4 linked regions of the Schizosaccharomyces pombe genome follow. The protein of the gene in region 1 purifies or fractionates together with the protein of each later gene. This does not show direct contact. Each region holds a gene or a part of one and is shown in the gene's direction. Other genes may lie near its edges.

Region 1 (9,846 bases):
TGGTGGAATAAAGGCCCAACTCCAGACTTAGGTGGTATTGAGAAGGATAGTATTCTGCAGATTGCCAGTCCCAAAGATCCACTAGAAGTTAACAATCCTGGTGCTTATTCAAATGCTTGTGTTGACATTTCTCTTTCCAACCTTGCACTTTGTAGCATTCTCAATTCTGCTCTCATAAATGACATAGAAGGTATTGGCGACATGGCAGCTTTGAATGATAATTACATGACCGCCATAAATGATGATCTGGAGGAAAAGTTGGGAATACATGATAATATTGGACTGACACATTCATTGCCGGTGTTGAAGGCGTTGGTTAAAACTTGGTGGAACGAAGCTGCATCCGGTAATAATCTCGCTGATCTTATAATTCAACATTTAGCCCGATGGATTTCTTCATCAAAATCTTATCTGTACAGTCCTTTACTCTCCTCGCACGTGGAAGTTATAATGAGAAAAACTTTTTTACAACTTCTCTCTGAGATAAAACGCCTTGGAGCACATATCATACACGCTTCTGCTAATAAAATATTAATCAAAACGAGCAAATTAATCGTCCAGAACGCTGTCACTTATTCAAATTATTTACTCAAATCCATTAAGACGTTACCACTATTTCACTTTTTGGATCTAAATGTCACGGAATACTGGGATTATCTTTTATGGATGGATTCCGTTAATTATGGAGGAAAAATGGTGGCAGCAAATTTTTCAGCTACAAATGAAGAACCACAGACAGTTGTTTCATGGCACATTAAAAGTCATTTACCTCCAATCATTCAGCCCGAATTTCAGAGTTGGATTGTTGAGTTTATTGAAGAGGTTTATAAGCAAAAATTAGAAAAGTCTAATACAAAAGTTGGGTTTGTTCGCGTGAAAAACAACAATGCTGATGAGGACTCTGAAATAGTTGGATCGGGAATTTTAAAAAGTAAGTTGATACATCCTCTTAAACGGAAAGTTGCTCAAGTAAGGAGATGTTTTCAAGAGCTTCAGCTTGATGAAAATACCAGAGAAGATCTTAAATTTCCAAAGTTGCCAGGTTCTTTTCTTAACTATACTGATGGCGCTCTAGAATTGGTTAAAAGCATCTGTGCTGTTTTTGAACTCTCCCATGATCTCAATTTGGAGGTCCGTTTTTTAAAAAAGAGTTTATTGTCACTTTTACAAATTCAAGAGTTTTCCACTCAGGCGGTATTTCGATATCCTAGTCGTCGACTTTCACTTGATCAAATACCCTGTAAGCAGTGTGGCGTCCATCAGGATTTTGACCTTTGTTTACATGAGCATCTATGGCCTACTCGCGATGACATGGGGACCTTGGTGTTTTCTGACGGATGGTCTTGTTCCAGCTGTAACTTAGTTTACGATCGATGGGTGTTTGAGGAAACTTTGGTGGATAACTTATACCATCAATTGACATTATATCAACTGCAAGATTTGATTTGTTCTAAATGTAAGACAGTTAAGCAATGGTCATTAAAGGAACGCTGTTCATGCAGCGGAGAATGGGTATTACAGCTTTCACCTACAAAGTTTCGTGAAATGTTAAACGTTTATCAATCTGTTGCTGATTTTTACGAGTTTTCTATATTGCAAAATTCTGTTCAGTCCATACTTTCTGTGCTGAACTAACATTTCTCGCCTGACCATGAGCATGAGTTTGGCTTTTTTGTCTTTATATGTATTTTATAAGTTATTTTGATTTTATCTGCTGCTGGTCATATTTATTTATTTTTATATAGCAGCATATATGTTTTTAATAAAGCATCTCTCTTTTGATAATTACGCATCCTAAATGCTTTTTTGGAAGATATTGTACATTCTTTCGATAATTTACCATTTTTCCACTCATGCTCTTAAACGTTCGAATAAATATTATAAATTCAGTTAGTAAATCACGTACAAATGCACACAGTTACTGTAGTTTAATAATAATTTTTTGTTTACAAGTTTAGTGGATCCTAACGATAATTCTTTATAACACGCCAAATGAGTCACCTAAAACTGTAACTTCATTTTTGCCAAGCACCAAATACAAGTGAATTTGGGTATTTGAAATAGAATGTCGCTTGGAGGTCCTCAAATTCCTGTCATTGGTAAGTTTGTATGCAGATGAAAGTATCTCTAATCGTTTGCAGTACTGAAGGAAGGTACGGATGATTCCCAAGGACGGGGTCAACTGCTTTCGAACATCAATGCTTGTGTCGCTGTACAAGACACGATCCGAACCACTCTCGGTCCATTGGGCGCTGATAAGTTAATGGTTGACGATAGAGGAGAAGTTGTAATTTCAAATGATGGCGCAACTATTATGAAACTCTTGGACATTGTCCATCCTGCTGCAAAAACGCTAGTTGATATTGCCAGAGCCCAAGATGCGGAAGTCGGTGATGGTACTACTTCGGTCGTTGTATTCGCTGGCGAATTATTGAGAGAAGCGAGAACATTTGTTGAAGATGGAGTTAGTTCACATCTTATTATAAGAGGTTATCGTAAAGCTGCCCAGTTGGCTGTGAATAAGATTAAAGAGATTGCTATTCACTTGGATTTATCGGACGAAGGGTAAGACTTTTAATTTATAGAATTTTTATCTGGGCATTGCTTAACTAGCTTGCTTAGAATAAGTTTTGTAAAGTTTATTATTGGTGCTTTTCGCTATACTTTTTTTATTACTTATTAGAAGGATTTTTAGTTATTTTATATTTGTTCAGTTTACTAATACTTTACAGAAAATTACGAGATCTGTTAACAAAATGCGCATCTACTGCAATGAACTCAAAGCTTATTCGTTCGAATTCTACTTTTTTTACAAAGATGGTAGTTGATGCTGTTTTGACATTAGATCAAGAAGACTTGAATGAAAACATGATTGGTATTAAAAAAGTCCCTGGAGGAGCAATGGAGGATTCACTTCTTGTTAAGGGCGTTGCATTTAAAAAGACATTTTCGTATGCTGGTTTTGAACAACAGCCAAAATTCTTCAAGAATCCCAAAATTCTTTGTTTGGACGTTGAGTTGGAATTAAAGGCCGAGAAAGACAATGCTGAAGTTCGCGTTGATAAAGTTCAAGAATACCAGAATATCGTCGATGCTGAATGGCGTATCATTTTTTCCAAACTTGAAGCGATTGTCGCTACTGGTGCGAAAGTTGTTTTGTCAAAATTGCCCATCGGTGATTTGGCCACCCAATATTTCGCGGATCGTGACATTTTTTGTGCTGGAAGGGTTGCTGCAGATGATTTAAATCGTGTGGTACAAGCAGTTGGCGGCTCCATCCAGTCTACCTGCTCAAATATTGAGGAGAAGCACCTAGGTACTTGTGATACTTTTGAGGAGCGTCAAATCGGTGGTGATCGTTTCAATCTATTTGAAGGTTGTCCCAAGGCCAAGACTTGCACTCTTATTCTTCGTGGCGGTGCTGATCAGTTTATTGCAGAGGTGGAACGCTCGTTACATGATGCTATTATGATTGTTAAACATGCGTTAAAAAATAACTTAGTAGTCGCTGGCGGTGGTGCTTGTGAGATGGAGTTATCTAAATATCTCCGTGATTATTCTCTTACTATATCTGGTAAACAACAGAATTTTATAGCTGCCTTTGCTCGCTCGTTGGAAGTAATCCCTCGTCAGCTGTGTGATAATGCAGGATTCGATTCAACAAATATTTTGAATAAACTCCGTATGCAACATGCCAAGGGTGAAATGTGGGCTGGTGTAGATATGGATAGCGAAGGGGTCGCAAACAATTTTGAGAAGTTTGTTTGGGAGCCTAGCACCGTCAAATCAAATGCCATATTATCAGCAACTGAGGCAGCTACTCTAATTCTGTCCGTTGACGAGACTATTAAAAATGAACCTTCACAGCAACCTCAAGCTCCACAGGGTGCGTTACCTCCTGGCGCTGCTAATAGGATTATGCGTGGTAGAGGTCGAGGAATGCCCCGCTAATAAATTTTCTAGGATTGTATTCTATCTAGATAAAATCAATTAAATCACTTTTTGTTTTGGTTGGACAATTCGTTTTGAATTTCTACCTATAAACAGGGCGTAATGTACTTATTGGTTCTAAATTAGCTATTTTATCTTTATGAGCGCTAGCTACGACTTACAATATTGTTCTGCATCGCGGATTATTTTCTTGTCACTTCACTCACTTTTGCGATATTATATGAACAGTGATTACTAAAAGTTACTAAATTGTTTCATAATTTATAAGGATTTATATGTGATACTTTGATACCTTCCAAATATCTTTTTTTAAGTTCGAAAACTTATAGTAGTATACTGGTATGAAATGGTAAACAGAACATATATTGCTTCATTTCTATCGTTATTTTCAATTGTTACAGTACGTTAAACATATTTCAGGAAATCGCTGTGTATCCATATCCGACGCTAGCGAAACAAACGAGTATGAAACCTTCACATATCTCAAGTGTTATTTTTTATCCATTGTGGTTGTTAATTTAATTTATCACGCGTCATTTATGAACTATTATACATAGGGAAGGAGAATTTGAATGGAGACTAATTTCGAAGATTCAAAGTCGTTGGATGAGCCTGTTCTTCATGACATTGCAATCGCGCTGCTTAAAAATGATTATTGGAGCCTTTATTTGTCCCCAGAACAAAAAAGGAAGTATATTTCTATACTAAATGACACTCTTCTATGGAACCGATTCATTAATGTAATAGAATGGGATAAGTTGTGCGATGAAAAAGACTCGAATGGCAGTAACGATGATGAGGAAGACGATTTAGATATTACTACTTTGTTTCGCTGTCGTTGTATGATATTTGACGCTAAAATAAATCCAGCTTTATTTGATTTAAGTTCCACAAGTTCTGGATCTATTGAGCATGTTGATCATCAAAACATATCCTTAGAAGCTTCGTTGGCCGAGGAAGAAGAAAGAAAGAAGGGAGATGCCAAAAAGTCTGAAGCAACTGGAAGACAACTATTTGATGATGATGATTTTGATGAATCTGATGCCGAAGACTCGTCTAAAGCTACCATTACTCTGGATCTTCAAAAGGATAAATCATTACGAAAAAGCATTATAGATTTGAAATCTGTCGATATAGATGATATGGGTAAGTCATCCCTTAAGTATTCTTATATACTAACATTTTAGATACTTCTGGTTTTGCAGCCATCGAATCAAATAAGGCACTCAGCAATATTAGTTTCAACTATGTGTACTATACTTTAGAAAATGACTCTGAAAATATCAATGAAGTGAAAAAATTTGAAGATGAGGAAGACACATCAACCCCTAATACATCCAGCTTTCAAAACAATTCATCCTCTCTTGATTTATCTGATAATTTATCGGTACGTTATGAAACTTATCAGTTATTTTAATTCCTTTTAATTAACAAAATTTAGCTTAATTCAAAGTTTGGATCACTTACCTCGTCATTTAAGGTATACTTTTAATCACTTTCTAATCTTGTTGTCAACCAAAACTAATACTTAGTATCTACTGCAATATTTGGAGGGAAATAGAAGTAAAATAAATGCCACCGATGCTGATGTGAAGCAATTGTTATCCGATGTTAAAAAAAATAAATCAAAATGGGTATTTAAGTTTTATTTTTTTGCTTGTATTAATGTTTTCTAGGCGAATGATCAAAGAATTGGTCAAGAAGAGCTTTATGAAGCAGCAGAAAAAGTGGTCCTGGAACTTAGATCATATACGGAGCATTCTTTGGCTTTTCTAACCAAGGTCAGCAAAAGAGATGCACCTGATTATTATACTGGTAAGAGTGATTCTAATAACTCTAAAATTCTCATTAACATTTTGTAGTAATTAAGGAGCCGATGGACCTTGGTACCATTTTAAGGAACTTAAAAAATTTACATTATAATAGCAAAAAAGAATTCGTTCATGATTTAATGCTAATTTGGTCGAACTGCTTTTTGTATAATTCACATCCCGACCACCCTTTGCGCGTACATGCCCAGTTTATGAAAGACAAGTCTTTGGAATTAATAAACCTCATTCCTGATATAGTAATACAATCTCGTAAGGATTACGATGATAGTTTAATTGAAGCAGAGCTTGAAAGCGATGAAGAATCAACAGCGGAGACATCAAAACATGTCACTTCTAAAAAGACATCTTCTAGGGGCGGACAAACGCAACAAGCTGTTGAAGTTCATACTGATGCAAATAGCCCCGAAGAAAACAATACTCCTGTTACAAAGAAAGAAGTTGAGACCTCTAAACCTCCTGCTGTTAGCGGTTCAACACCTCCTGTCAATGAAGCGGCCGTTATAGAGAGTTCTAACACTTTAGAAAAAGAACCTTTGTCTGACGTTGCTACTGAATATTGGAAAATCAAAACAAAGGATATTCGTGAAAGCCATATCTTAAATAATCGGCGGATTTTAAAAAGTTTACAATTTATTGAGACTGAACTACCTATGATTCGGAAGCCAACAGCAATGTCAGCTTTTATAGATCGAGAAGTTGCTTATGGAAGTATAGATTGTTTACCTATGGATAAAGGTGATTTTGAACCAATAATGAAATTAGATACTACCCCATTACTTGAGTATGATGTGGGTTCAGGCGTTCCGATGACCGCTGGTAGCGTCTTGGAGACTGAAAGTGAAGAAGACTTATACTTTAGGGACTACTCTCTTTTTGAAATTAATCGCAACACACCTGGTGTACCTTCGTTGATGTACAAAAATATTGCTAAAATGCAAGAAATTCGGAAATTATGTAATAAAATCCAAACAGTTCGCCAGTTACAGCTTCCTCAGCCATTTTATTATGAACATCATAAAAGTCATGTCCCGTTTGCTAACAATGAACCCATCCTTTTGGATATCCCACAAAATTACGATAACATGTCCTCCTTTAAACCATTGGCGCACGATGTATTAAAAAAGCTTTGTACCATTATATTATTCCATGCTGGATTTGAGTCGTTTCAAATGGGAGCACTGGATGCTTTGACCGAAATAGCGGCTGATTACATGGCAAAAATGGGTGCTGTCATGGACCAGTATCTCATTTATGGGAAAGACAAATCTCAACAGGTATTTAATTACGTTATGCAGTTATATTGACCAATTTAGGAAATTGTTGGACAAACCCTAGGGGAATTAGGTGTTGACGATGTGAATGATTTAATTTCATATGTGTATCATGATGTAGAGCGCCAAAGCGTGAAGTTGCTAGAAATACATCAGCGTCTTCAAAGGCATTTTGTTGAGTTATTGGTATGCGAATTTCCTTATTAAGTAGTGTTACTAACCGGATTAGCGTCCTGCACTTTCTGAGCGCAATGATGAAGAAGCGATATTTAACCAAAATGGAGAGTCGTTTGTAACGGGAAATTTTTCGTATGAGACTGGTGATGATTTCTTTGGTCTACGGGAACTTGGTTTAGATAGAGAACTTGGCTTAGATTCACTATCGGTTCCATTGCATTTATTACAAAGCAGATTGAGGTCGAATATGAGTTGGCAACCCGAAGCGTATGTTTATAATATCTTTGAAAGATTTGATACTAATTCATTCAGAACGATAAAGGGTGACCAAGAGTACGCTCCACCTCCAAAATATCCTCCCATCACCGCCGAAAGTATTTCTAACGAAATCGGGTTGATTCAAGGATTTTTAAAGAAGAATCTAGAGGAATTCGGTTTGGATGAGTTGTTGGAAGATGAAGACATAAGGCCAAGGAGCAAACCTCCGCGACCGCGTCTACCTCCGAACGGAAAGATTACCACTGGGAGAAAGCGAATTGCTTCGTCAGTTTTTTTAAATCAATCCTTGAGAAAAAAGCGCTGCCTAAAGGAGAATGAGCAAGGTACTGAGGTAACTACTCTTCCTGAAGAATAGGCCATATGTATTTATTTATAACGTCAAAAACAACTAGTATATAGATGTGTATCAACCACAATGGAGACATAACTTTTAAAACATAATTTTTACTTTAAAAAAGTTTAAAGTTTCTTTTAGTAATAATTATAATGGTTCTAGTTTTGGTTTGGCTTTATGTCTGATGTGTTCTTTAGTAATTATTAATGTCTGAAAAATCGGGGTCCGAATGGCAATTTGAATTTGCAAAATAAAGATATAATATCACTAACATATAACTATTTATTAATTACTCTAGCAACACATTTAACCTAATTATGAGTGCATTGTCCGAAATATTAAGTTACCTAATTATTTCATTTGAGACGAGTTTTACCTTTCACCTTGAAGTATCACATACTGAAATGGGAAAGCGCGAGAACGCTCATAACAGCAGTGAGCGACCTTTTAAAAAGGAAAGGAATCTTTATCAAACAAAGCTAACTATTAAGTATAGTTTAAGTACAAAAGAACAGGGATTGAAAAAAATGAAAGTGGTGTTTTAGTTACTGTTCCTCGCGGTAAAGAAAGACAATCATCGTCTGAGATTCTTGATGTTTTTACTCAGGTATGCAAGACATTTGTCAGGTTAAGGATGCGTAAACTGATGATTAATAGCATATAGCTACTCTTTGGCCAGAAACTCAATCTAGTGATCAAGAAAACGAAGAAGAAGGCGAGGAATTAGAAGATGCAGTTGCTAAGGAGATTAATAGTCTCCAAAAAAAGAACAAAAAAGAACTGTTAACCCCAATTATGCTAGATATGCCTTGTGGTAGGTGCATAAACAGTATAATTTTAGAAGTTTAAGATGTTTATTCGTATTTGAATTATTATGACCGTTTATTAATTTTTTGAAGTTTACTTTGTAAAAACAAGGCCACCAATTGATCCAGTGCGTCTTGTAGAGTTTACTTGTGAAGTTGGGAAAACCAAAAAAATGACTCGATATACACAACGATTGATACCGATTGTAAGAACAACTGGCGTTTCCCTGGATGATCTCGAGGAGCTTGCTAAAAGTCTGATTGACCCGTTATTTCATGAAGGCCAGGAAGGGATTAAGGTAAGTTAGCAATAATATATGGCTTTAGCATACAATAGGCTAACTCCAGGAGTTCGCTGTTCAAGCCAATATCCGAAATCATACAGTCCTAAAAAAAGATGATATATATCGCACTGTTGCTAGAATCGTTGGAAAGCAACATATGGTAGATTTGAAGAACTTTAAATTGCTTATTTTAGTCCAAGTGATTAAGGTACGTTTCATTGCTTGCAACGAATTGCATTTAACAATCCTTTTAAATTTAGAATATAATTGGCATAAGTATTGTACAAAATTTCGAAGAGTTGAGACGCTTCAATTTGAATGAAGTATATAAACAACCGGAGAATACCAAGTCGATCCCTAATGATTCTAAGTTAGACAACTTCGATCGCGATAAGAATCAAATAATAAATGATAAGGCCGAACATGCTGAGTAAGAGAGCTCTACATATTAACCGAGGCACCGGGATCATCGTTTATGTTAGAGAATTTTAATTTGAAGGAGCGTATAAATTTCTTTCGTTAAAATTTAAAGATTTGTCATGAAATTAAAGGTTACGACAATATCAACAACGAATTATTAGGGAAAATGGGAATCTGCGCTTACAATTGAAAGCCGAACTTATTGGTCATCATACAAGTCTTCAAATAGAGAACACACGATAAAACTATATTTTGGATGTTTGATATGATTACGAACTAATTGATATTGAGTTTACAAAGTAATGTAAAATAAGCGTCTTGAAACGTTTGTGAAACGATAACTAAACGTAACATTATCTCCAAATAAAGCAAACGAATTTAGTAATAAAGCTTGATAACGTTAATTTTAACGCGTAAAGGTCCTACAGAAATCTGTAAAATGCATTTTCTTTTTCCTAAAAAAAAAAAAAGAAAACAAATTTATTGCCGTTT
Region 2 (7,312 bases), 1.0 Mb from region 1:
AAAATGGAGTTATCTAAGGCTTCATTGCAGAAACTGATGGCTTTTCTATTTTATGAGACACAATTCAGAGTATTTAATTTTCTCAAATCCAAAAATGTCAATTATTATAACTGTATATCGTTTTCTTAGAATATCAAAATAGGTCTCTAAATGAAAAGAAAAAAATATTTACATATGCAATTTAGCATTAGACCGGCTAATTTGTAAAATACTTAATAGTTTTTTTGTACCTTCATCATAAACTAGCAAGCAACATGTGTATTAAACTTTTTATAGTAAACAATGACATGTATAGTAAGCTTTTATATAGTACTATAGAATTCATACGATAACACAAATAATAGATTAGAACGATGAGAAATAGATAATTAGCCCATTAAAAGATGCAAGAAAATTATGAACTTAAGGAAGCGTAAGTTTTCTTCGTCGTAGGAAGAACTGAACAATAAGTATGAGTATGCGTATGCGTATAAAGACAAGCAAAATATTATAACGTAAATGAATGAGAGTCGAACAAAATATGCTAATATAGATTATAAAAAAAATTATCCTTATGAGTAGAAGTACAGGAATTACTCAACCAATGGAGAAAATTCATAAATATGCAGTTTAAACATTGTCCTCGGAAGCATTTTCCAACATGTTTGTAACTGACTGTTTACATAGGGGACAAAGATCCGAATTTTTTAATAAATAAGGATCAATGCAAGCCGGATGAAAGATGTGATGGCATGGCAGTTCTCGATAAAGAGGACTTTCTTCTGAATACTCACACAAGCAAATAGTACACTCCCTCTGATCGAAATACTTACTCCCTCTTTCGGCTGTAGTAACCACATTTCCCTGTCCATCAAAACTTTCTGATTTGTCTAATTTCCAATCCTTTTCATAAACCAACTCATCATTAGGATTGGCAAGATGAGGCCCCGAAAACATTCTAACGGGCAAAGTATCGAGCATTTCTTTAGTAACACGATTTTCTGGTTTGTTTGGTCCAATATTCACAATTCTTTCTTGAACAGGAATTCCATGACGATTTAAGAGTCTATAAAATCCATTCATTGCACCAGAAAAGTGAAGGCAAATAAAAAGGCCTATGACACCGATTAAACCCAATAACACACCAATGAATATATAGAGGCCAAGTAGCTTTGGTTCCTTGCTGATGATAACGCCCAAACGGGCCGTAGCATCAATGTTTCCAAAATATTCGACTAATGCTCCACCATCCTGCACCGAATTTAAAGAAGAAGCCGAGTATTCGTTGAGAATCTTTTCAAAAGCGATGCCGTTTTCGTAAGATATGAGTGCCATTGGTAATGTTTCAAAGGTAATCATATCTACAGCATCTTCAAAGTGGTCAAAATTGGTTAATGAATTACTAGCAGTGCTTGCATTATAAAATAGTATTGCCTTTGCTCTATCCTGGACAGCCTGCAATACATGCATTGGAGCACAATAGTCAAACGGCGCGAATGCGATTAAGCCAGAACTTCCCATATTAGAAACATCTCTAAACCATACGCTTCCCTTGGTATCAACTTGAAGTGACTCGGTGTCATTGCAGCTACCATAAGGAGTAGTTTTATATATAATTCCACGAAAATTATTCTTCAGTTTAGACAAGCTTTTGTAATACTCATTCAAAAGGACCGTGTTGTCAGAGTGGAAGTAAAATGAGACATTTTTTGGAAGATTTGAAACAACATTCTTGTTGTTTTTAACAATAAGAGTAGTTATGGTTAGCGGAAAGAACTGATTGTATTCGACAGCATTCATAATAATAGATGAATTTCCGTAATATGAAAGACCAGAGCTAACATAATTAGATATTGCAGTATTTGGAGCATTGCTGGAATAAGCAGGGTAATAATCATCATACAAGGAGATTGAACCAGAAGTAGAGGACGACCTTGCAGAACTAGTACTAGAATCTGAATAAGATTTGGGATTTGATTCACTGGAAACAGAATCCGAGTCTGATTCACTAGAACTGGACATAGAATCTGATTCATCATGACTAGATCTTGAAGAAGAAGTGTGTTCACTAGCATGCCCACTAGTATGGCCTCTTCTTAATGATCTAAATGAATAAGAGATTGGAGTTGGCGAGATACTTTCGTCCTTTGGCATTCGATATCGCCTTCTTTCATTCCATAGTTTACGAATTGCATTAAACAGCCGCTTTCTCCTCTTTACCTTATTCTCTTGTGAAACATAGCCTCTGTAAACTGCATTGCAATCCAGATGATCAAGCAACTGGTTATTACACAGATGCATAAGAACCTAAACAAACTTTAAGGCACGAAGAAACACAAAGAACTAGGAAACAGGAGGTTTCAAGATTACCAAAAAACAAACCTGCTTTGATACCAATCTTTCTAAATAATGAATCAAATTTAATGGTAATTGAAAGGTAAGCTTTCAATCAATAAACAGACGTTGAGTGGTGATATCTCTAAAGCAGGAATTGTGGAACACAATTAATGAAATTTTTTAAAGGAAATTTCAAAAAATTAGAAAGTAAAAAGTGTGATTCTTTTAACTTATACTAGCTCAAGCTTGAAAACCACAAATTGGTGGTGGCTAAGTAATGAACATCTTGAGACATATTGCGTACATAGTACACAATACATGTGATATACATGTGGAAAGCAATTGTTATTATATTTTCACTATGAGCAGTATACTTCAGTGAAGAAGTTTTTTAATGAAGGAAAAACTATGAAACAAACAAAGCATAAAGTGCAGGGCGAGAAAAACAATCGTGAAATAAAACAGCTTATTTGTGTTTGGTGATTCGACAAGCGCTTTAAACAGGTGTGAGAAACTAAATAATAATAAATGGTAATTATAAGAAATAAAAAAACGAAGAAGTGATACTTCAAAAAGGTAAGCATAGCTGGAGAATTAATGATCAGAGAGAACTATAATAAATAAATAAAAAAAGGATCGCTTAGCGATCAATTAAACAATAAGATATCCTCCTTAAACATAAGAAGCAATTTACTAGGAATACGTTATAGGATTTAATGTTGTTTGAGTATACTTTGTAAACTAGTATAAGGATATAATTATTGTGATATGCTACCTCGTAATTTAGTATAATTTTATGGAGTTCGTTTAGTACAGCGGTTACATATTTGTTTAAGAAGGCTAAGATATAATATACTATATAATTTTATATTTTACTGTATTAACTTACAACTGAACTAGGAAAGGGTAGTTTGTTCGGTTGAGATATTTCTTCAATAATTGTATTTTCCTAAAGATGTTTTACTCGTCCTGATCATTAAAGATCAGTAGTATGGATCCGACAGTTTTGAAATGAAAATAACAATAATTAGTAGTGATATCTAATGTAGCTTTGATCTGGCTTAGCAATACATTATTGGTAAAGTATGGGGAAATGGATTATGTAGTTTGTTATGAGAAATAAAAAATGTGCACCAAATTAATCTCAAATATCCTTTCTTTGCGTAGTAAATTTTTTTATTTGTTTTAAACACATATTAACTGGAAGTCATGTTTGCGCAAACTTTAAAATGCTCATCTCAGCAAATGAATAACATTGTAGTTTGAGAATAATAATTACTTTTGAATACATATGTTCAAGTCCAAGAAGGCTGCCATTCAACTCTAAACTGAACATTTGCTTATAGAAGCAAAAATTGTAGTAGATACCAACTTCGCTCCGAACTCTATATAATACCGATTTTAAACAACACTTTTTACCAGAAGTTAATTAATCTTATATATTAATTTCTATTATTCAACTAGCATTATTCCAAGAATTGGAATTATTTACTTTTCGATCTTAGCCCTTATATACGTAAATAACAATGCTACTTTACCACGAATACAGAATATAGTCCACCTCCACCATCCCTATTTTAGTTGGCCTAGTGGTTTCTTGAAACACTGGATTAAAGTATTAAAAGTTAAGTCCATAAGCTAGGGAAATAAATTTCCTATTATTTCCAATAAGTCGAACGATAAATCAAGGAACCACGGATTTGAATCAAGTTGCAGAAAGACATTCTTTGCTTTACAACATCGGTCAAATAAAGAAAGAATGAGTGACATTAACAATAATGAGCCAGCTGAAAATATTGAACAGCCCAAGCAAGAACCAGAAGATGGAAATAATTCGATGAGTGTTGATGAACAACCCGAAACGTCTTCCACAAATCTGCCAACTGGTGACAATCTCGCCCCAATGAGTGTAGAATCCCCTGCACATTTAAATAACGAGGATTCTCCCAAAAGCGATGATTCTAGAGAAAGGCATGGCTCGAATTATGTTATAGAACCGCATTTAGAATTGCGAGATATGGCCAAAGACAAAACACTTGAAAATTTCTTGGCCCAAATGGATGATTACTCTCCCTTAATTCCAGATGTGTTATTGGATTATTACCTCAGTTTATCTGGATTTAAATGTGTTGACCCACGCTTAAAAAAGCTTCTTGGTCTTACAGCTCAAAAATTTATTTCTGATGTTGCTCAAGACGCCTATCAATATTCTAAAATCCGAACCGGTAGTAGCAATGCATCTTCAACTACGTTTGGTGCGCAGAATTTTGGAGCCGGAGGCGCTTCCGGGATTGGATCTAGCGGAAGAAGAGGTGACCGTGGAAAAACCGTGCTCACTGTAGATGACTTAAGTGCCGCTCTTAATGAATATGGAATTAATTTGAAAAGGCCCGATTTCTTCCGTTAAAGACTTTTTATCCCACTAAGGCCACTTGTGTGAGACCCTTACTTAATGCATTAGTGGAACTTTGTTTCTGAAATCTCATTTTCCTATAAAATTTTTGTTTACTAATTGTTGTTAATTCTAACCTTTTACACTTTTTTGAAATTATTATGTATTTTGAAGATAGCACATTCGGTTTGGCGTGGCATTGTTGATGATCATAATTTCAAAACATTTTCTCATATCGATCCATTTCAGCAGTAGTTTTCATATGAGGGATTATTTATCTTTATATTTTATAAAATTTATCATATGTATCATAGTTACTATTTTCTCGCTATCACTTGCTGAATTTGTTTTACACTGATACTCTCATTCAACATTGATGTAGTAAATGTTTTCTTCGTTATGCTACTATCTGCATTTTGAAAAGCACTTCTGAAAGTGTCAATTACGCGGTCGACAGCTGCCTCATAGTATGTCAGAACCTAACATGCTTCTAATTATAATATGCATTGTATATAAAGTAAAAATTAATATAATTACAGTTACCAGTACTCTTTCAAATAATGTAATGCTTGAAACCTTAAACAAATACAGACTTCTCAAGAAAAATCACTGCCTTCATCTGGCAAAGGAAGATTATCAGTTCCTACAAGCAAACATCTTGTTTTGATTGTAGGAAGGAAAGTACTTGGTATTCCTCTTTTAATTAAGTCTAATATTACCCAAAATTAAATAAATTGATTATAATAAATTATAGTTTATCCTATTCAAAGGATCCATTCTGTTTATTTAAACATTATAGCGCTGATAGTTCAAAAGTAAATGGTAACGTTGGTAGGACGCGCTTGACATTCTGTGTTGAAAATGGAAATACCATTAGAGGTAGAATTTGCCCGAATCGGTGAATTCAAATAAGCCTGTAACTCGCAAAGTCCATCAGAAGTTCCACTAGGTCCATACCCACAATCGATAAGGGGATAAACTTGCTGGTTGACGAGATGCCGTACATAATATTTGCTGTCAGAACAAAAGAACAACTCAGTAATTAAATTTCCAGCGAAGGGAACGAATGAAGAAGTTTTCTGGGAGTATGTATAAATGTTTTTATCAGTCGGCAAAGGATTTTGCGGAGTAATGTCAGGAAAGAATCCCAAAGCAGCTTCCACAGGAATGATATTAGAATCATGAGTAAATGCTAAAAATACTTTACGATCGAAGTCGGGATTAGTCACATTACGAAGTGAGTCTGCAAGATTATTTATATAGGCCCCACCTAAGGTTGAAGCCCATTCGGAAACAGGACCACCTCCATATGCCTGATCGAGATCTGAGTCATATTCAAAGTTCAAAAATTCTGATGGGGTAAATATGGAACAAAAATCACTGTGATCTTTTATAGCAATTTCATATTCGCAGATATAAAAGAGACTACGAACGTCATTGATCGTAAGTTTATAACTGCTGTCAAAATATTTAGCCAAACGATTCACAATGGGCTCAATAAAAATATTGCGCCATACAGCATGGGCAGCATCAGTTGCATTTTTATGAAAGTTATTATCTTTAAACACGGGACATGCGTTGTACATGGATAAGGAGTTGGCACCTGCTGCCTTACCTTCAGAAATAAGGATAAAATTGGTTTTTTCGTACATTTTATCACCAAATAATCCATAAGTAAACCATTTTGCAGATTCAACAACACGTTCCTGTTCAGCCGTATTTATGTCGTAAACGTATGAATCAAAAAGTTTATAGTAACGCTGGTATAGCTGACGACCCAAGTCGAAAAGTTCGAGACGACCACGGCTGGAAAGTTGATCGGCATTTTCTGCATCTATTACAGGAGTCCACTGCTTAATAAAACATAAGGGATTCTCGGGGTAGCTGAAGTTTACGGGTATTGAGCCGTTTAAAAGCTTTTCCTGAAAATTATTTAAATATTGTGAACTATATACATCAGTGGCAGTTACATCGCCCGTTGGGTTTCTGGAACCGTGACGTTGAAGAAGATGAACTTGTTGGATCTCACAGGTTTCAGGGAAAGCAGAATCAAGACCATCAAAGTAGGGCTCATGATAAGGACTTAATGTTCCGAGATGTTCCTTGAAGAAAAAATTGCTTTCATAATCCTCAAACTGAACATTATCGGCATTGACGATGAACGCAGCTAAGAACCAGAGAGAAATGATACACAACTGCATCACGAAAATATATCAGCCAAACGAGTAAAAGGCCTTCTTAATTATTCGATTAGTAAAGCAGAGCTTTTGAGGAAGAAAAATTAAAGGATCAAAGTAAGAAATTGATTAAAACGAGTGACAGTCCATTCAACCAACAAACTGCTGGTCAATTGAGGTTAGGAGCGACTTTGAAGGATTAATTGAAAGGTAACCATTAAAAGATACAACGTAATGGTCCTATACGTGTAATTCGTGTATCTGCCAACAAAAGCTGGTAGCTTCCACTAAATTGAAATCTGCTGCCGATGCCGTTCCAGTGAAAACGTAAAACATCATGGCAGACGCGAACTGTTAATGTACGTTACAGTCAATACGGATACAAATAACGAGTTTCGACTAAACATTTTAACACGTATAAGAATTT
Region 3 (7,386 bases), on another chromosome or scaffold:
AACTCAATTACGATTTGCTTAGCATTACGGCTCCATTGCCGCCATACAAAGTGAAGAAATATGGAGGAAATTCACCAAAATTAAGAAATATACAAACTTTGAAGCGACTGATTAAACTGTTGACATCCGAGAAAATTTGCATTTTCACACCTTCAGCGACATTTCCCCCGATCCCCGAAAAAGGTGCGACTTGTGAGGATTGGCTATTTTTTATTAATCTAGTGGAAAATAGCTGTTAAACGTTTGCAGATCAGTAAAAATTTTCAATATGAGTGGCAGATTGCGCAATAGTTGGTTAATCGAAATCAATTGCATTAACTGAGAAGTGGACAGATTTTTAATGATCTACGCACATATATATACTGAGACGAATAGAACGACATCTTTGCAATTTGTTTTATCCACATTATCTTCGGATTCGTAATTTTGAGATTCGCTTAACATCTCGCAATTCTACTCAAAATCTCAAATTCATTAGGTGATTATTAGTCTTTAGGCCTCACAATCCTCTCTATATTATATCCTCTCCTCCTTAACCTCATCGAAAGCCACCTCAAGAAAATACACATATTTGGAATAATCAAGTGGTTGGATAAAGAGTATTATTGGAGTTTTTTGAATCATTAAAATCTTGGTTCTACCTCAACTCTTCATCTTTTTACTGAAGGTTGCCAAAGCAACGAGTTTGTGTGTATTTTATATTTGATCTTCTAGTTTCTTTTTCGTTTATCTTTTACATAGTTTGTGTCTCTTTTTAAATTTTTTTTCTTGTTTCCATATATTTCTATCAGCTAGCACTTTAAATTTTCGATTTACTTACAAATTACTTTGTAAGGTTCGATAGTTGACTTTCCCCGCTTATCATAATTATTACAATCTTCATATAGTTTTCTCCTTTTTTTTTGTATTACTATAGTCTTTTATACTACTATCATCTTATCCAAATCATTTCTGGTTTCATTCTGTTAACATCTACCCGCATCATCCGTGATAACATTTTTTTGTGCTATTATCCACTCTATTTTTTTTTACCCTAAAATCAACCTTTGCATTGTCCCTTCTTTCTTTTCATACTTAATATTTAACCTTTATAAAAAAAATGACTACAGGTTATGAATCTGTTCCCACTTCCGAACCCTCTGATAATCTTGCACCACGAGCAGAGCTATGGCAACGCCATTTACTGGAAAAAAAAGAAGGTGATCAATCCATCTCCGTTTCGGCTTTTAATATTTCTTCAATGCATAATGAATTGTCTGGTTTAAGCGAAAAAAGTCGTCAACGTGTCGAAGCTGTATGGGCTGCTTTTTCAGAGGCTTCTTGCAGCGAACGTAAACTCGCTTTGCAAGGCATTTTAAACAACTGTTCGTCCTCTCTTCTCTCTTTTGCCTCCAGCACATTAGATTCTCTAGTACGCTTAGATTTTCTCTCTTTGCTCCCTGTTGAAATTTCGTTTCGCATTTTATCTTTTTTGGATGCTAGAAGCCTTTGCCAAGCTGCACAAGTCAGTAAACATTGGAAAGAACTTGCTGATGATGATGTTATATGGCATCGGATGTGTGAACAACATATTAATCGAAAATGTGAAAAATGCGGCTGGGGACTTCCGTTACTCGAAAGAAATACCTTATACGCAGCAAAGGCTTCCATACAAAAACGTTATGAACGACTTACAAAAAGAGGCGTCGATCAGGCTCATGAATCTTCACCCGTCAAAAAAGCAAAGCTGGACGATTATCCGACGTCGAGTAATGAAGAGACTATTTCTTCTGTCAAACCACCTTCTCCGAACTCCGATTCCAAATTCTTTCTTCCCTTTAAAACCAGACCATGGAAAGAAGTATATGCTGAACGTTGTAGAGTTGAATGCAACTGGCGGCATGGTCGTTGTCGCCAGGTTGTTCTCAGTGGCCACTCTGACGGTGTTATGTGTCTACAACTTGTAAGGAACATTCTTGCTAGCGGCAGTTATGATGCCACTATACGATTATGGAATCTTGCTACCTTTCAACAAGTTGCTCTATTAGAAGGTCATAGCAGTGGTGTTACGTGCCTTCAATTCGATCAGTGTAAACTTATCAGCGGTTCAATGGACAAAACTATTCGTATATGGAACTACAGAACCTCTGAATGCATTTCTATTTTACATGGTCATACGGATAGTGTTTTATGCTTAACGTTTGACTCTACGCTACTTGTTTCTGGAAGCGCAGATTGTACAGTTAAGCTGTGGCACTTTTCTGGCGGTAAGCGTATCACTTTACGCGGTCACACAGGACCTGTCAATTCTGTCCGCATAATTAGAGATCGTGGACTTGTTCTTTCCGGTTCCGACGATTCCACCATCAAGATTTGGTCTTTGGAAACAAACACGTGTCTTCATACTTTCAGTGCTCATATTGGCCCTGTCCAGAGTTTAGCTCTTGCTGATTCGCGATTGTTTTCTTGCTCATTGGACGGCACAATAAAGCAATGGGACATCGAGAAGAAAAAATGTGTTCATACATTGTTTGGACACATTGAAGGTGTATGGGAAATTGCGGCAGATCACCTTCGTTTAATCTCGGGAGCTCATGATGGTGTTGTTAAAGTTTGGGAGGCTTGTGAATGTGTTCACACGTTGAAGAATCACTCGGAGCCTGTAACCTCGGTTGCTCTTGGAGACTGTGAGGTAGTCAGTGGGTCTGAAGATGGGAAAATATATTTGTGGCTTTTCAATAATGCTCCAAATGAATCTCCAGTATCTACACAATCTGTTCCGATATCTTCCCTTAATGGTCAAAGGTCAAATTCAAGTGTGCAACGAGCTCTTTCTTCAGTACCCAACTACTCATCCTCGTTATCCAATATCTCAACCAGAAATTTAAATATCCCACCCTCTAATGCCAATAATGACGATGTGTCGATTCAATCGTAGTTACCCCAACATCGCATCGCCTTTTTGTTTGTGTCTATTTCTTTTTTTCTTCGGCATTTCGCTTGTATATCCTTCATTTTTCATCATTCGAAGCTATGTCTTTATTTATTGCTCGGGTTGCCAAAATGCCATATCTAAATTTGGCTCTTTTTTGGTAACAAACACTTTGTCTATAATCAAAAACTACTTCTAATATCCTTGCCTGTATTGTATTATTTAAATCATTTGAGATTGATGGCATCCCGGCATACAGTTTAGCCTTTTGCTTAATTTACTAGCGAATTATTTTATGACTTTTAACATTTTATGTATTTAATGAATACAATTTATCCTTAGTCGAGCTGAAGAATGTATGATTTGATGAATTGTAAAAGGGAGAAACTTAGGTACTATGTTGTAGGCGTTGTTTTTTCCAATTGCGCAAGTGGATTACTGATATTTTATTTCATGAGCGTGTGTATTTTGCATTGCTCTTGGAGTCAGAGAAGTATGAAATTAGCAAATTATATCAACACTCACTATTAGCAAATAAAGTCAGCTCCTACGCAAGCTAAAGATGTAACACCAAGTATTTGAGCCTAATAATTTTTATAATAAAGACATCAATTTGAAGCACTTCCGTTCTGTAAATCTCAATTTCCCATACGGATCAGTTGCATCTTTTTCCTCATTGTTTGAAATTTTGGAATCACCGGCTTTGTAACAATACTAACTTGCTTGGAATACTCAACTTTTGATTCCCAAAGAATGGTTTAAAGATGCAGCCTGCTTCTCTTGCCGGTATTGTAAGTACCTGATTTCTCTATGTGTAATTGTTTTTCCTTTCAAAATTAAACTTCCTCGCCAAAAAAAGATTTGCTTGTTTATGAAAGCATGTATCATTTAATCGATCGCGGTTTATTTAACATGTCAAATTGTAGTACTTTAAAGACAAAAGGAAGATTAATAGAAAAACAATTGTCAATAGGTGGCTGAATTTAACACTTGTACAACTTTTTCACTAACTTCAAATTTCAATCAGTCTTGCACTATATTTGAGAATTTGTTGAAAGACTACACCCATGAATTGACCCAAACAGTCCACAAGAATGCTAAATTATCTCTTCAAAAATGTCCGGCCTGTAACAAGCATTGTCGGCAGTATTGTACCAAGCCAGGCTACGATATATATGGTAATAGCGTCCAAACTCCTTCAAATGTCCCTTATTATTCTTGTTTAATGTGCAAGCGTGAAATAGCTGCGTCTCGATATGCTGCACATTTAGAGAAATGTAAAGGCAGGTCACTTTCAAACGCTACCTCGTACTCAACTCTTTTCGAAGATGACAATGCAGACGAAGAGGACTAGTTTTATTTGTTGCTTGTTTTAAGGTTTATTCTCATTATGCACATGTATGTCTTTCCCAGTAAGACGAACTACAATATTATTTTGCTAACTTGTGTAGCTAGTTATTAAACTCATATATAGTAGACTCTCACTTCAATAAAAAGACGAGGAATTGTAAACAAGAATTACCAATAAATATTATTAAAGGATAAAGATATTATTTAAACTATTTGGTTAATAATAATGCCCATATTAAGGTAACGAAGGTGAGAAGTAAATTTTTAATTGAGGAAAATATCTTTCAAAGTTGGTAAGACAAGGATAACAAGAATGAAGAAGTAAGTTGACAATAAATTTTGGTTTAACATATTTGTCATTATGTTCAGCAAATTTTAGGTAACGAGTGAATAATAGAAAAAAAATATCGTTTAATATTAAAAAAAGAAAAAGAAAGAAATTAGTTTATGTTTTAGCATTGACAACTTTCAATCGGTTTAATTTATTTTCTTTGCCATTTGAGATACCAGCTCTTTCATGATACCACTTAAGAAAAACAGAAGCAGCCATAGTTTGAGGTGCCAAATGACGGTTTAAAAGCTTCCCCTTCATATTTAAAGTACAAACTAAAATAGAGTTTGAAAGTTCATCTACTCGAAGACATTGTTCTATCGAAACGGCCTTCATTTCGATTTTTTTAACATACCTCGTCCAAACAACCAATCCATCGTCGCAAAAGACGCAGGCATTAAAATCATAAATAAATGAAGTAGCTGGAATAACTGACCCTTTAAATTTTATATGCCTTGGAATGTCCACCGCAACACCCTGGTTTCCACACAGTGCACTAAGTACTTGATAACTTTCCTCGCGGGCTTTTTCTTGGTCTATATAAGAACATAACTCTCGAAAATCGTCAAGTGTTTTGACCGCCATCCGAAAATCTCCATTCAAAAATGGATATTTCCGTAACATTTTACAAACACGTGCTAAATGTATAGGATATCTCAACAAGTGTTGCAATGGAATTAAAAGCTGACTGTTGCACGAAGAAGGATCAGAAATTATTTTTTCAATGGCAGATATTCCACTTAAATTGATGGTATACATGTGGTAAACATCACGAAAAGCGGGTAAAGATTGCGACAATGAATATACTGGAGAGCCACTGGAAATCATTTGTTGATATAACTTCGTGTGTAACTGATTTAAAGTCTTAAAGCACGTGCAAATTCCAATCGCCTCCCTTTCCATACTTTGGCCTTCGATTGGCATTATAATTTCCTAAAATGTAAGTAATCACAAACTAGTAAACACGAGCATAATATTTGCTATAGTAATCGTTACATTTAATGTTTTCTTTAAATCAACAGAGTAATTGTATTCTGTCGAAATTATTTCCTGAAGTATACTGTTAAACTCAGTAGCCGGTGTTTGTTCAACAGCTTTTGCTTCTAAATAGACGCACGGATTAGTTCTTTTCGTTGATTGTTTTTGAAGTAATCTAATCGATTTTCCACGCGTTAGAGACCTTATGATTGGCATCGTTTTTAAAAGTGCCATGCTCCAGGCGAAACGTGTTAGGAAATTGCATGTAAATAACACGCTCCAAAGTCAACTACTCAGTGTAAAACCTATGTCACTAAAGTTCATTATCCAATTTTGCGTAACTGTGGCTTAGTATCTTAAATCTATAAGTAAGCAAAGGAATAGTTAGTTAATAAAATTACTTTATTAAAAGTATTTAAAGTTTGTAGCCTTTTCAAACTTATCTTTCAATAGAAAAAGTCTTTCTCATGGACAATTTCAGTTAATGAATGTTTCCCGCTTGAGGAATGAAGCTAAGTTTTGGTCATATGTTGATATGTCTAGCTGTGAAAGGTCAATTAGATATATTAGGACCTTAAAAAACATTATTATCATGCTTGTGAGTATTCCGTGACCACTACATTCGAACCTTCAATTGACAAATATCATTTATTTGCTTAATTACAATTATAACGTAATACGTTAAAACACGTAAAATAATTTGCTAATTATGGATCACACAAATTGGCGTAAACAATTAAAAGAAGAATTAAATAAAAAAGAGAAGGATTCATGCCGTTTTTATGCATTGGACTTTATTTTGATTCTGAATTTTTTTTAAAATAACATCCCACGTTGTAACAAAAAAACTGAAGCAATAGTATTTGAGTAATCTAGTCCAATAAACTCTTGTAGTTGTATATTTGGCCCGAGCTTTAATCTTCTAATTAAGAAAAAAATACAATTGTAAAATTTTTGATAAGGAGAAAAGTACCGGAAGCAATGCTAACGTTGTAAAAGGTTTTTGTTCAATCGTTTATGGTCAAACAACTAGGTTGATATGCGTAACAAAATCCATCTCCAATTTCTTAAGCTAGAAAACTAGTTAATTCCTTCTTAGAAGCTTATGTTATTCCACTTGACTTGTAAAATTTGACTTCAATTAAAAAGTCCACCTTTTGTAAGGAAATGCTTCTCTTTATCAACTATTAATTTAGCTTTTAATATCCGTGACAAATAACTTTAGTCAATATCTTCAGGATGTGTTGAAAAATCGAAAAAAGACTTATAGATTAAAACCTTTGAATATCCTTTAAAGAATAATTTAAAGTGCAACAGCTTTAATGATTTTTAAAGGTTCAATTGGGCGGTCAGATGAATCCGTTCGGATAAGACCCATACGCTTGCACACAGAAAGCCCGCTAACAACACGACCAAAAATTGTATGTTTTCCGTCTAACCAAGGAGTAGGTGCTAGAGTGATAAAAAACTGAAGATGGTTAAAGTTAGTGTAAACAAAGTCATCATACCTGTGATGAATTTGTGTTAGGTCCAGCATTGGCCATTGATAAAATGCCAGCTCCAGTGTGATGTAAATCGGAATGAATCTCATCGTCAAATTTATCCCTAATCAATTAATAAGAATGTGAAAACTTCGTAATAAAGATGCAAACAATCGGTGAATGCCGATTTATAAAGCTTTGCCTACCCATATATAGAAGTTCCACCTCGACCTGTACCTGTGGGATCCCCTCCTTGAATTACAAAGTCTGGAATAACTCTGTGAAACTAATTTAATTAGTACCAATTTCACGAATTAAATCAAATACGATATTGA
Region 4 (7,806 bases), 320 kb from region 1:
AGGTTTGACAACGATGACAAGACCGTCCCTCATATTGGTTGGAATTCTTGTGCTGTACGATCTGACACTTCAAAAGAGTTTTTTGGTATGCGCCCACATGACAAATTTTATTTTGTGCACTCTTATATGATTCCAGAAAAGGGACTTATCCTTCCTCCAGAGTTCAAAATTGCTACCACGAAATATGGAAATGAAACCTTTGTAGGTGCTATTGTAAAGAATAATTTTTTAGCTACCCAATTTCATCCGGAAAAAAGTGGATCTGCAGGTTTGCGTTGTTTAAAGGCATTTTTAACCGGTAATTATGAGCAACCTATAAGTGGTGAAGCATCTAAACTTATAGAGAACTCCTTTGGCGGATTAACAAAGCGTATTATTGCTTGCTTAGATGTCCGTTCCAACGACGCTGGTGACCTTGTAGTTACAAAAGGTGATCAATATGATGTCCGTGAAAAATCTTCTGGAAGCGAGGTTAGAAATCTTGGAAAACCTGTGGAGTTATGTCAAAGATATTTTCAAGAAGGCGCTGACGAAGTCGTTTTTTTGAACATCACTTCATTTAGAAATTGTCCAATGGCCGATGCACCTATGTTACAGGTTTTAGAAAAGGCAGCTCAAACAGTATTTGTACCTTTAACAGTAGGTGGTGGAATCAGAGATGTATCAGATCCTGATGGGACTTTTCATCCTGCTGTCGAAGTTGCTGGTATTTACTTTAGATCAGGTGCCGACAAAGTATCTATTGGAAGTGACGCCGTTTATGCCGCAGAAAAGTATTACGAAAATGGGAAGAAATTGAGTGGAAAAACTGCTATAGAAACAATTTCTAAGGCCTATGGTAATCAGGCAGTTGTTATTTCGGTTGATCCTAAACGTCAGTATGTAAAAGTTCCTGAAGATACTAAACACCATGTTGTGAAAACATCTCGGCTTGGACCTAATGGAGAAGCATATTGTTGGTATCAGTGCACCGTTAAAGGAGGTCGTGAATATCGTGATATTGATGTTGTTGAACTTACTCGTGCTTGTGAAGCAATGGGTGCTGGTGAAGTACTATTAAATTGTATGGATCAAGACGGTTCAAATGCTGGGTATGACATAGAACTTGTTCGTCTTGTTAAAAACTCTGTGAATATTCCAGTAATAGCTTCAAGTGGTGCTGGTATTCCCCAACATTTTGAAGAAGTATTTAAAGAAACGGATTGTGATGCAGCTCTTGCCGCCGGAATTTTTCATCGACAAACTTGTCGCATAGAAGACGTCAAAGAATATCTGGCAATACACGACGTTCTGGTTCGCACTTAGCTAGCGAAGTCCGTCTGAATTACGATAAAAAAATATTTGTATCTAATTCCTTCCCCTTTTAGCACTAAATTAGATGTCAATAGTGCACTGAAATTGCATATGCCAATAAAATTTGTTTTGGATAATATAAATTTTTATCCAGATTATTAAAACTATCTGACATAGAGTAGTATTTATTACTTTATGTAATATTTACTCAGCAGAATTTTTGCATATCCTCTTACGTCTTTATCGACTAAAATTATAAAACAACTGTACAAGATGGCCAGTGAGGGCGCGGACAGGAAGTATACCAAAAAGGGGACTTTAGATTCTCTCCAATGTTTTACGAGGAAGCTGCTTATAATAGACAAAAGAATTGAAAGAGCTAGCAAAAAAGGCCTAGGAAGAGACCTCGGGAGACTAAAATCTTTATAATTGTGAAGAATAAACCGTAAGGCAAAACATATCCTCAGTGATAAATTTAATATATTTGCAAGGATTAATCCATGAGAGCCTAAATTAAACCATGATAGAAGGAATTTTCCAGTAATAAAATAAAATACAGCGGAAGCCAAATAACACTTCCCTTGATCATACAACTGAGAAGAGTTGGCTGCTGAAACATAAAATGCTTCCAACACGCCGTTTGCAGCCATAAACGGAATATACATTGCGTACCAAGATAAAATGCTAGAGCTATCAGGAGAAGCCCACTTACTTCCTGCGCCAAACAAAAGAACAATGTCCGAGTAATTACTTCCAAAAAGGATAAACAAACTCATATAAGAATATAATTTTAAAATCCATGCCAACAAATTTAAAGCCTTTTTTTCATCTTTTTTGTTCTTATAATGCGTTAACTGAGCAAAAACAATGTGAGAATGGTCCTCTACTGGTCGAAACACGATTCTCGCCAATAAAGAACCATAATTGGAAGCTAGCGCATACGGACCTTGAGCAGAAGGAGAAGCATACCATGCTACCATTATCTTATCGCCCTTTGTGATTAGGTGTTTTAACAACACTTGATAAGTATGTGAACAGATTATTCGAAGAGTAGAACTATCCCAAAATATATACCTCTCGTTTTCTCCCACTTTGTGGAGAAATATGGAGAATGGCTGTTTAGCAAAATACCTTAAAGTAAAAAAAATGGTTACTTTTTCTGACAAGTTACCGAGGGCAAAAGGAAGACTTGACGGTGCCTTATTCCTTCCTAAAACAGAAATTGCAAAGGACAATAAAGAGCAAATAATTGTTCCAAGTCCTTCTGCTGAAGCAGTCTTGGAGAACTTCTGGCGCCATTGAAGAACTTCATAGTATGGTTCAGATAGCAACTCAATGAAACTAGAAACGGTGTAAATAAAAATACATGTTTTAGAATAAGGAAAATTAGGAAGTGAATAGAAGTAAAATAAAGAAACCAGAAGCGATATTACGATACCAATGTAAACACTGATCAAAGAAGTATTCTTGATCAATTGCAACTGATCACTTAATTTTTTTGATTTGTTTGACTCAGTAGAAGTAGAGGTAATTATTGCATTTTCCGAAGGAATTCTTTGCATAGCTAATCGAACCGACTCCCTGCTGAGGAAAAGGATCGTACTCTGTAATATCTCAAAATGAATAGAAGAAAATGCATAGGCGCTAGGACTAGTTAACCGAATGGTCAGTTGGTTTAAGAAGAAAGTCAATATTCTCGAACTTCCTTGAAAAAATATGGAGGAGCGCAGTCCCTTCGAGGACGACTGCAGCAAAGAATCAGATTTATCCATTAGCTAGTTGGTACTGATCTAGATTCAAAGAATTATACTACAAGTCAATAGTTGTTTACCTCTTTCTTCCATTAATGTCCCAACTTTTTTTATGTAATTCGTATTCTAACTTATAAATGAGATATTTACTTGGTGGATTTGGCGCATAAATGGGTGTCTCTTGAGCGCGCAGTTAACTTTTCAGGACACATTACTAACATAGAGCATTAAGGAATTCTACAATATACTTGAGTTAACGAAGTAGAGTTGCCATGTTTAACCCGCCGGCTATACAGCCATATTTGTATTAAAGATGCGTTAAAGTACAGTAAGCTTCTACTGCTTGTAATTCATATGCTGTTAATACCAGGTTACCTTAAACTTCCATAAGTATAATAATCACAAACCCATTTCACGACTGATTTTAAGGACGTAGGTACAATTAAAATTCGTTTTCCTATTTTATAATTTTGTGGTTAGATAATTAATAGTAAATCAGATACTCAAGAATATACAGATGATTATTACTGTATACTAAAATTTTTTTAGGCTGAAGAGTGTTTGATGTTTAGTGAAGCGTACCGTAAATTAAGCATTGCTGGCATGTAATAACTTGGACTACTTCTAGTTTAAGGCATCATTCTACTAAGTCTGAAAGTTTTTTGTTTGAAACTCATTAAGAACCTTTGTAGACAACTTTCTATTAAAAAAAATAGGTTCTTTATTTGTACTTAGCTTTACTTTTGCATCTGCTTTTTAGCTACAAGTTTGAACAATTTACTTGTGTTTTACACCAATACTGGGACTTATGCGATTAAGCTTTCTATTTTAATTCTGCTATTATTTTTTTTTGTCATAAACTTATTTTGATGACCTTGATGATTAAATTGTACTAGAAAAATGACAGAAGGAGTTACTGTACAAAAAGTTCAAAGCGCTAGCTCGAATGGGCACAAACCCAACACAGTAATTTCGCAAATAATCTCAGAGATGCAATCACTTTTGGGTAGCAGTTTCGAGGTGTATACTAAAACAATGACGGACTTCTTAATTGGACAGTTGAGCAGAAAGGAAATGAAGTCGATGCTGTTAACTTTCGCTGGAAAATCAAATTTTGGTAAGATATAAATTTTTATTTAATATTGTTCTGACACTTTAGATAAACTACACAATTCAATCATTTTTCATATTCTCAAATTGATGCAAAAAAATAATGATACCTTTAGTGCTCTACATCATTTACCTTGGTTTAAACGGAAGAAAGTCGATAATAGTTTATTTTTACATAAAAAAATTAGTTCGCAGAATGCACAGGTTCGATTAATCAAGCGAATAGTAATGTCTTTAAGTTATAAAGACCGGGCTAGGATCAAAACTGCTTTAAAAGTAGGCTTTATTATAAGTCTTTTTTATCACCTTTCTAACAAACATATCTAGGAAAAGCCAGTTACACCAAGTTTGATCTCAGGATTGCTGCTGGAAACGAGAATTGCAAAATTACCTAAAATTCCTGTATCCCGAGACAAGCTGAATTCAGGTAAGCCTATTCTTTAATAGGTTCTAAGGAAGTATTCAAAAGTGTAACCATTTAATTTTTATTAACGGAAATTTCCTTTTAACCACAATTTGGGTAATATTTTCACTAACCTCATTAGTATTTGTAAATGATATTAAAGCCGGCTATGTTGCACCTCTAGCATGTGAAACACTTGAACTTCCAGATTCAGAATCGTTAAAAGAACGAATTACAGCTATTTCTCTTGAAAATGGCTTATTGGGTGGTGTACAAAAGGGTGTGTCTGATATTATATTGGCTGGGTTAGAAAGCCATCTAAAGAACATTCTAAGCAGATGCTTTTCTATATTAAACAAAAATATTCGACAAAAAAATACTGAAAATGATGCGGCAGGTTTTACCATTAATGACCTTAATCTAGCATGGACTATTGAACCTCATGCTTTTGTCGAACAGTATCCACAGAAGTTAAGAATGCCGTTTTTGCTTCATGATAGTTATACTGAAGATGAAATTTCAATTTGTGCAGAATCGCCAAGCTACATGCTTGCAAGCAATGATGCGCAAAGTGATAGGAATTCTGTTGCTTCCCTTTTAGATGAAGTGCTTTCATAACCGCGGAGGTTCTTTTTTTTTTAATCTAATCGTCAGAAGTGCTTTATTTATTTACAATCTTAAAAGCTTCAAGGGCTATTCTTCAAGCGTTTCAGCTCGCAAATATACAAGACTTGATTATCCTTTTAAGTTAGATTTTTTTCACATATTTTTTTTTTTTAATTTATAGTAATGAATTTAATATATAACAGGTTGCGAAATATGTAAGATGAAGCAATATAGATATTCTAAAATACGTAATTATCCAGCAAGATTTACCGACAGAATACTATTATTGTTCAAGATTTGCTAAAATATAGTATTAGTAAAAACTGTTTAAATACGATCATCAGTATCCATATCGATGCCAGCATAAGGCGTCCGGAAATCCTGTTGTCTATTACTGAAACTTTCACTTTCGCCAACAGCTTCGTCAACAGAAATGCGCTCATCGTCCATCTTCTTTAAAGATGTTTCTTTCATTGTAACGTCCTCATGAGTAGTTTTCTCATTTTTACCGTCCTCCGAATAAGATCTACTAGTAGCCATCTCTAAGGTGGCATTGTCCATAGCTTTGCGGTCGTCAGGATCTTCCCAAAATCTGCGGTTACCCTTAAAGAGGCGACGTACCCATTGAGGCAATAAACCCCCCTCGACACGCCATGTCCAAGCTTCTTTTTGATTATAGTCAGCCGGTACAAGTCTACCGCGTGACATTTTGTCAATAGCATAAATAATGGAGTTTAGTAGAGCGTAGCAAATAATACCGGCAATCAAGCCATACGCAATCGAGTAGGTAAATGGCATCAAAGCAATTGTAATAAAAGCAGGAATGGAGTCACCAAGGTAACTCCAGTTAATCAATGTAGTACTCTTCATCATCATACTGCCGACAAGTACTAATGTAGAACCGGTAGCCCAGACTGGAATACTTGAAAAAATAGGAGCAAAGAAAAGAGAAATGAAAAAGCAAATGCCTACAACCATACCTAAAATCCCTGTTCTACCGCCAGCCGAAATACCAGACCCGGATTCAATAAAAGCAGTAACAGGTGAGCAACCAAAAAGTGACCCAATAGAAATACTTAAAGCATCGACGATGTAAGCAACTGCGGATCCTTCAAAGTCTTGAGTACGAGGATCGACCAAACCAGCATAGTTAGCCATTGAGTAAAGTGTACCAGTCATATCCATAATGTCAACGTACAGAAAAGTAATCAGTGCAATGGCAAATTGACCGCCTGTAACGTTCCACTGTTGGGCAACAAGAATACGGTTAATTTTTCGAAAGCTAACAACCTTTTTGAAAAAATCAAAATTATAATCCCCTGTAAGCGTGTGGGGAAACATAGTTACTAATGAGCGTCTAGGCCAACTTGTGATAGTGACAAGTGCGATTCCAGCAAGGACAGCACCTTTAAATTTGTACATCATTAAAATAGCAGTGAGAACACCGCCACAGAATATACCTACCCACATTCTTCCTGATTGTAATTGATGACCGTTGCAGCTATAATCAGCGTTTAGGTATTCTGGAGGGCATCCTCCTAAAGCGACAATATCAGATGAGGAATGCCCAATGACTCCTAACCCAGCACTTGGACTGAGTCCGATAATTGTGAGATACAAACCAATACCAGCACCAGTAGCAAATTTCAAAGAGGCAGGAATAACTCGCGCCAGCCATTGGCGTAGACCTATAACAGTTAAACCAGTAAAGATGAATCCTTCAACAAAAACAGCTAAAAGAGCTTCTCGATAGGAAACACGTCCAGTGCCATTATATCCGACAACTTGGTACGCAAAATAAGCATTTAAACCCATACCAGGGGCCATACCCACGGGCATATTGGCAAAAAGACCCATGCAGAAAGAAGCGAGAGCAGAAATGGCAGCGGTGGCTGTGACGAGATCACGATGAAAGTCTTCTTTGCAAAGTACATAGTCATCAAGTTTGTCACAATCATCACGATTAGCTTCAGTACATTCGCAAGTGCCGCCCGTATCTACGAGAATGGTAGCATTGACAGCCAAAATGTAAGCCATTGCAAAAAAGGTAGTAAGACCAGCACTAATTTCGAGAGAAAAGCGACTGCCTTTACGCTCCCGAGGATGACCACATCCCTCTAGACGAAACCAACGTCCGAATGCCGAACGAGCGACGATCACGTCGAACTCTTCGACCCAATTCCTTACTTTTTGTGTGATGCTCATCTTCTCGATAAACTAAGGAAAAAAAGAAAAGAGGATTGAAATATTAAAACAATAAAAACGAGAATACTTATAATATATGTATATATATTACACTAGGTATCCAAATAACCTGCCGAGGATAAATAAAACACAACAAATCAACGGAAAGATCCGTGTTAATGCTAAGCAAAAAGCCCTTTTCACAAAAATAGATTACTTATTAAAGATACAAATATTAGAGAAATCCCAAAACCCACAAGGAAAGAAACCGATTTTGCTTCCAAACCTCAAAAACAGTAAAAGCAATTTAAAAAACTTTTGATGAAATTGTAAACAAAGATCGAGATAAAAGCAATCTAATCTTTAAAGTTGTTTGATCAAAGCCGTTTTCTAAAATCCAGAACCTTTTCGACCTACCACTAATCTAAAAATTTTCTGCTAAGCGATGAATCTCGATCT

Evidence for each region.
Region 2: the proteins of spt7 (region 1) and taf10 purify together in Schizosaccharomyces pombe (affinity purification with mass spectrometry, with the first as the bait; one study listed by BioGRID). This does not show direct contact.
Region 3: the proteins of spt7 (region 1) and sgf11 purify together in Schizosaccharomyces pombe (affinity purification with mass spectrometry, with the first as the bait; one study listed by BioGRID). This does not show direct contact.
Region 4: the proteins of spt7 (region 1) and hfi1 purify together in Schizosaccharomyces pombe (affinity purification with mass spectrometry; 2 studies listed by BioGRID). This does not show direct contact.

The regions. Positions count from the first base shown.
Region 1 is NC_003423.3:3,258,854-3,268,699, forward strand, and holds spt7 (SAGA complex bromodomain subunit Spt7), read left to right. Parts: upstream 1-4,416; 5' UTR 4,417-4,523; coding exon 4,524-5,097; intron 5,098-5,138; coding exon 5,139-5,338; intron 5,339-5,392; coding exon 5,393-5,431; intron 5,432-5,483; coding exon 5,484-5,585; intron 5,586-5,627; coding exon 5,628-5,766; intron 5,767-5,813; coding exon 5,814-7,057; exon of another isoform or gene 7,058-7,096; coding exon 7,097-7,240; exon of another isoform or gene 7,241-7,283; coding exon 7,284-7,498; exon of another isoform or gene 7,499-7,543; coding exon 7,544-7,865; 3' UTR 7,866-8,022; downstream 8,023-9,846. Other genes in the region: cdc20 (DNA polymerase epsilon catalytic subunit Pol2), read left to right, coding at 1-1,635; chaperonin-containing T-complex eta subunit Cct7, read left to right, coding at 2,066-2,099, 2,142-2,565, 2,733-3,951; tan1 (tRNA acetyltransferase), read left to right, coding at 8,162-8,233, 8,341-8,451, 8,502-8,658, 8,744-8,949, 8,999-9,142, 9,195-9,368. UniProt on the Schizosaccharomyces pombe protein: Essential scaffold subunit of the transcription coactivator SAGA complex. SAGA acts as a general cofactor required for essentially all RNA polymerase II transcription.
Region 2 is NC_003423.3:2,251,127-2,258,438, forward strand, and holds taf10 (SAGA complex/transcription factor TFIID complex subunit Taf10), read left to right. Parts: upstream 1-3,875; 5' UTR 3,876-4,075; coding exon 4,076-4,723; 3' UTR 4,724-5,100; downstream 5,101-7,312. Other genes in the region: SPOM_SPBC15C4.06C (ubiquitin-protein ligase E3), read right to left, coding at 610-2,280; SPOM_SPBC21H7.03C (multiple inositol polyphosphate phosphatase), read right to left, coding at 5,518-6,909. UniProt on the Schizosaccharomyces pombe protein: Functions as a component of both the DNA-binding general transcription initiation factor complex TFIID and the transcription coactivator SAGA complex.
Region 3 is NC_003424.3:1,368,597-1,375,982, reverse strand, and holds sgf11 (SAGA complex deubiquitinating submodule subunit Sgf11), read left to right. Parts: upstream 1-3,512; 5' UTR 3,513-3,675; coding exon 3,676-3,702; exon of another isoform or gene 3,703-3,938; coding exon 3,939-4,265; 3' UTR 4,266-4,309; exon of another isoform or gene 4,310-4,362; 3' UTR 4,363-4,505; downstream 4,506-7,386. Other genes in the region: F-box/WD repeat-containing protein Pof1, read left to right, coding at 1,100-2,917; mug10 (Rho guanine nucleotide exchange factor), read right to left, coding at 4,707-5,525, 5,589-5,804; cyclophilin family peptidyl-prolyl cis-trans isomerase Cyp1, read right to left, coding at 6,874-7,038, 7,079-7,175, 7,258-7,337.
Region 4 is NC_003423.3:3,575,594-3,583,399, reverse strand, and holds hfi1 (SAGA complex subunit Hfi1/Ada1), read left to right. Parts: upstream 1-3,680; 5' UTR 3,681-3,944; coding exon 3,945-4,161; intron 4,162-4,203; coding exon 4,204-4,430; intron 4,431-4,481; coding exon 4,482-4,581; intron 4,582-4,699; coding exon 4,700-5,175; 3' UTR 5,176-5,367; downstream 5,368-7,806. Other genes in the region: his4 (imidazoleglycerol-phosphate synthase), read left to right, coding at 1-1,305; Man5GlcNac2-PP-Dol translocation protein Rft1, read right to left, coding at 1,482-3,065; SPOM_SPBC887.17 (transmembrane transporter), read right to left, coding at 5,491-7,368. UniProt on the Schizosaccharomyces pombe protein: Component of the transcription coactivator SAGA complex. SAGA acts as a general cofactor required for essentially all RNA polymerase II transcription. At the promoters, SAGA is required for transcription pre-initiation complex (PIC) recruitment.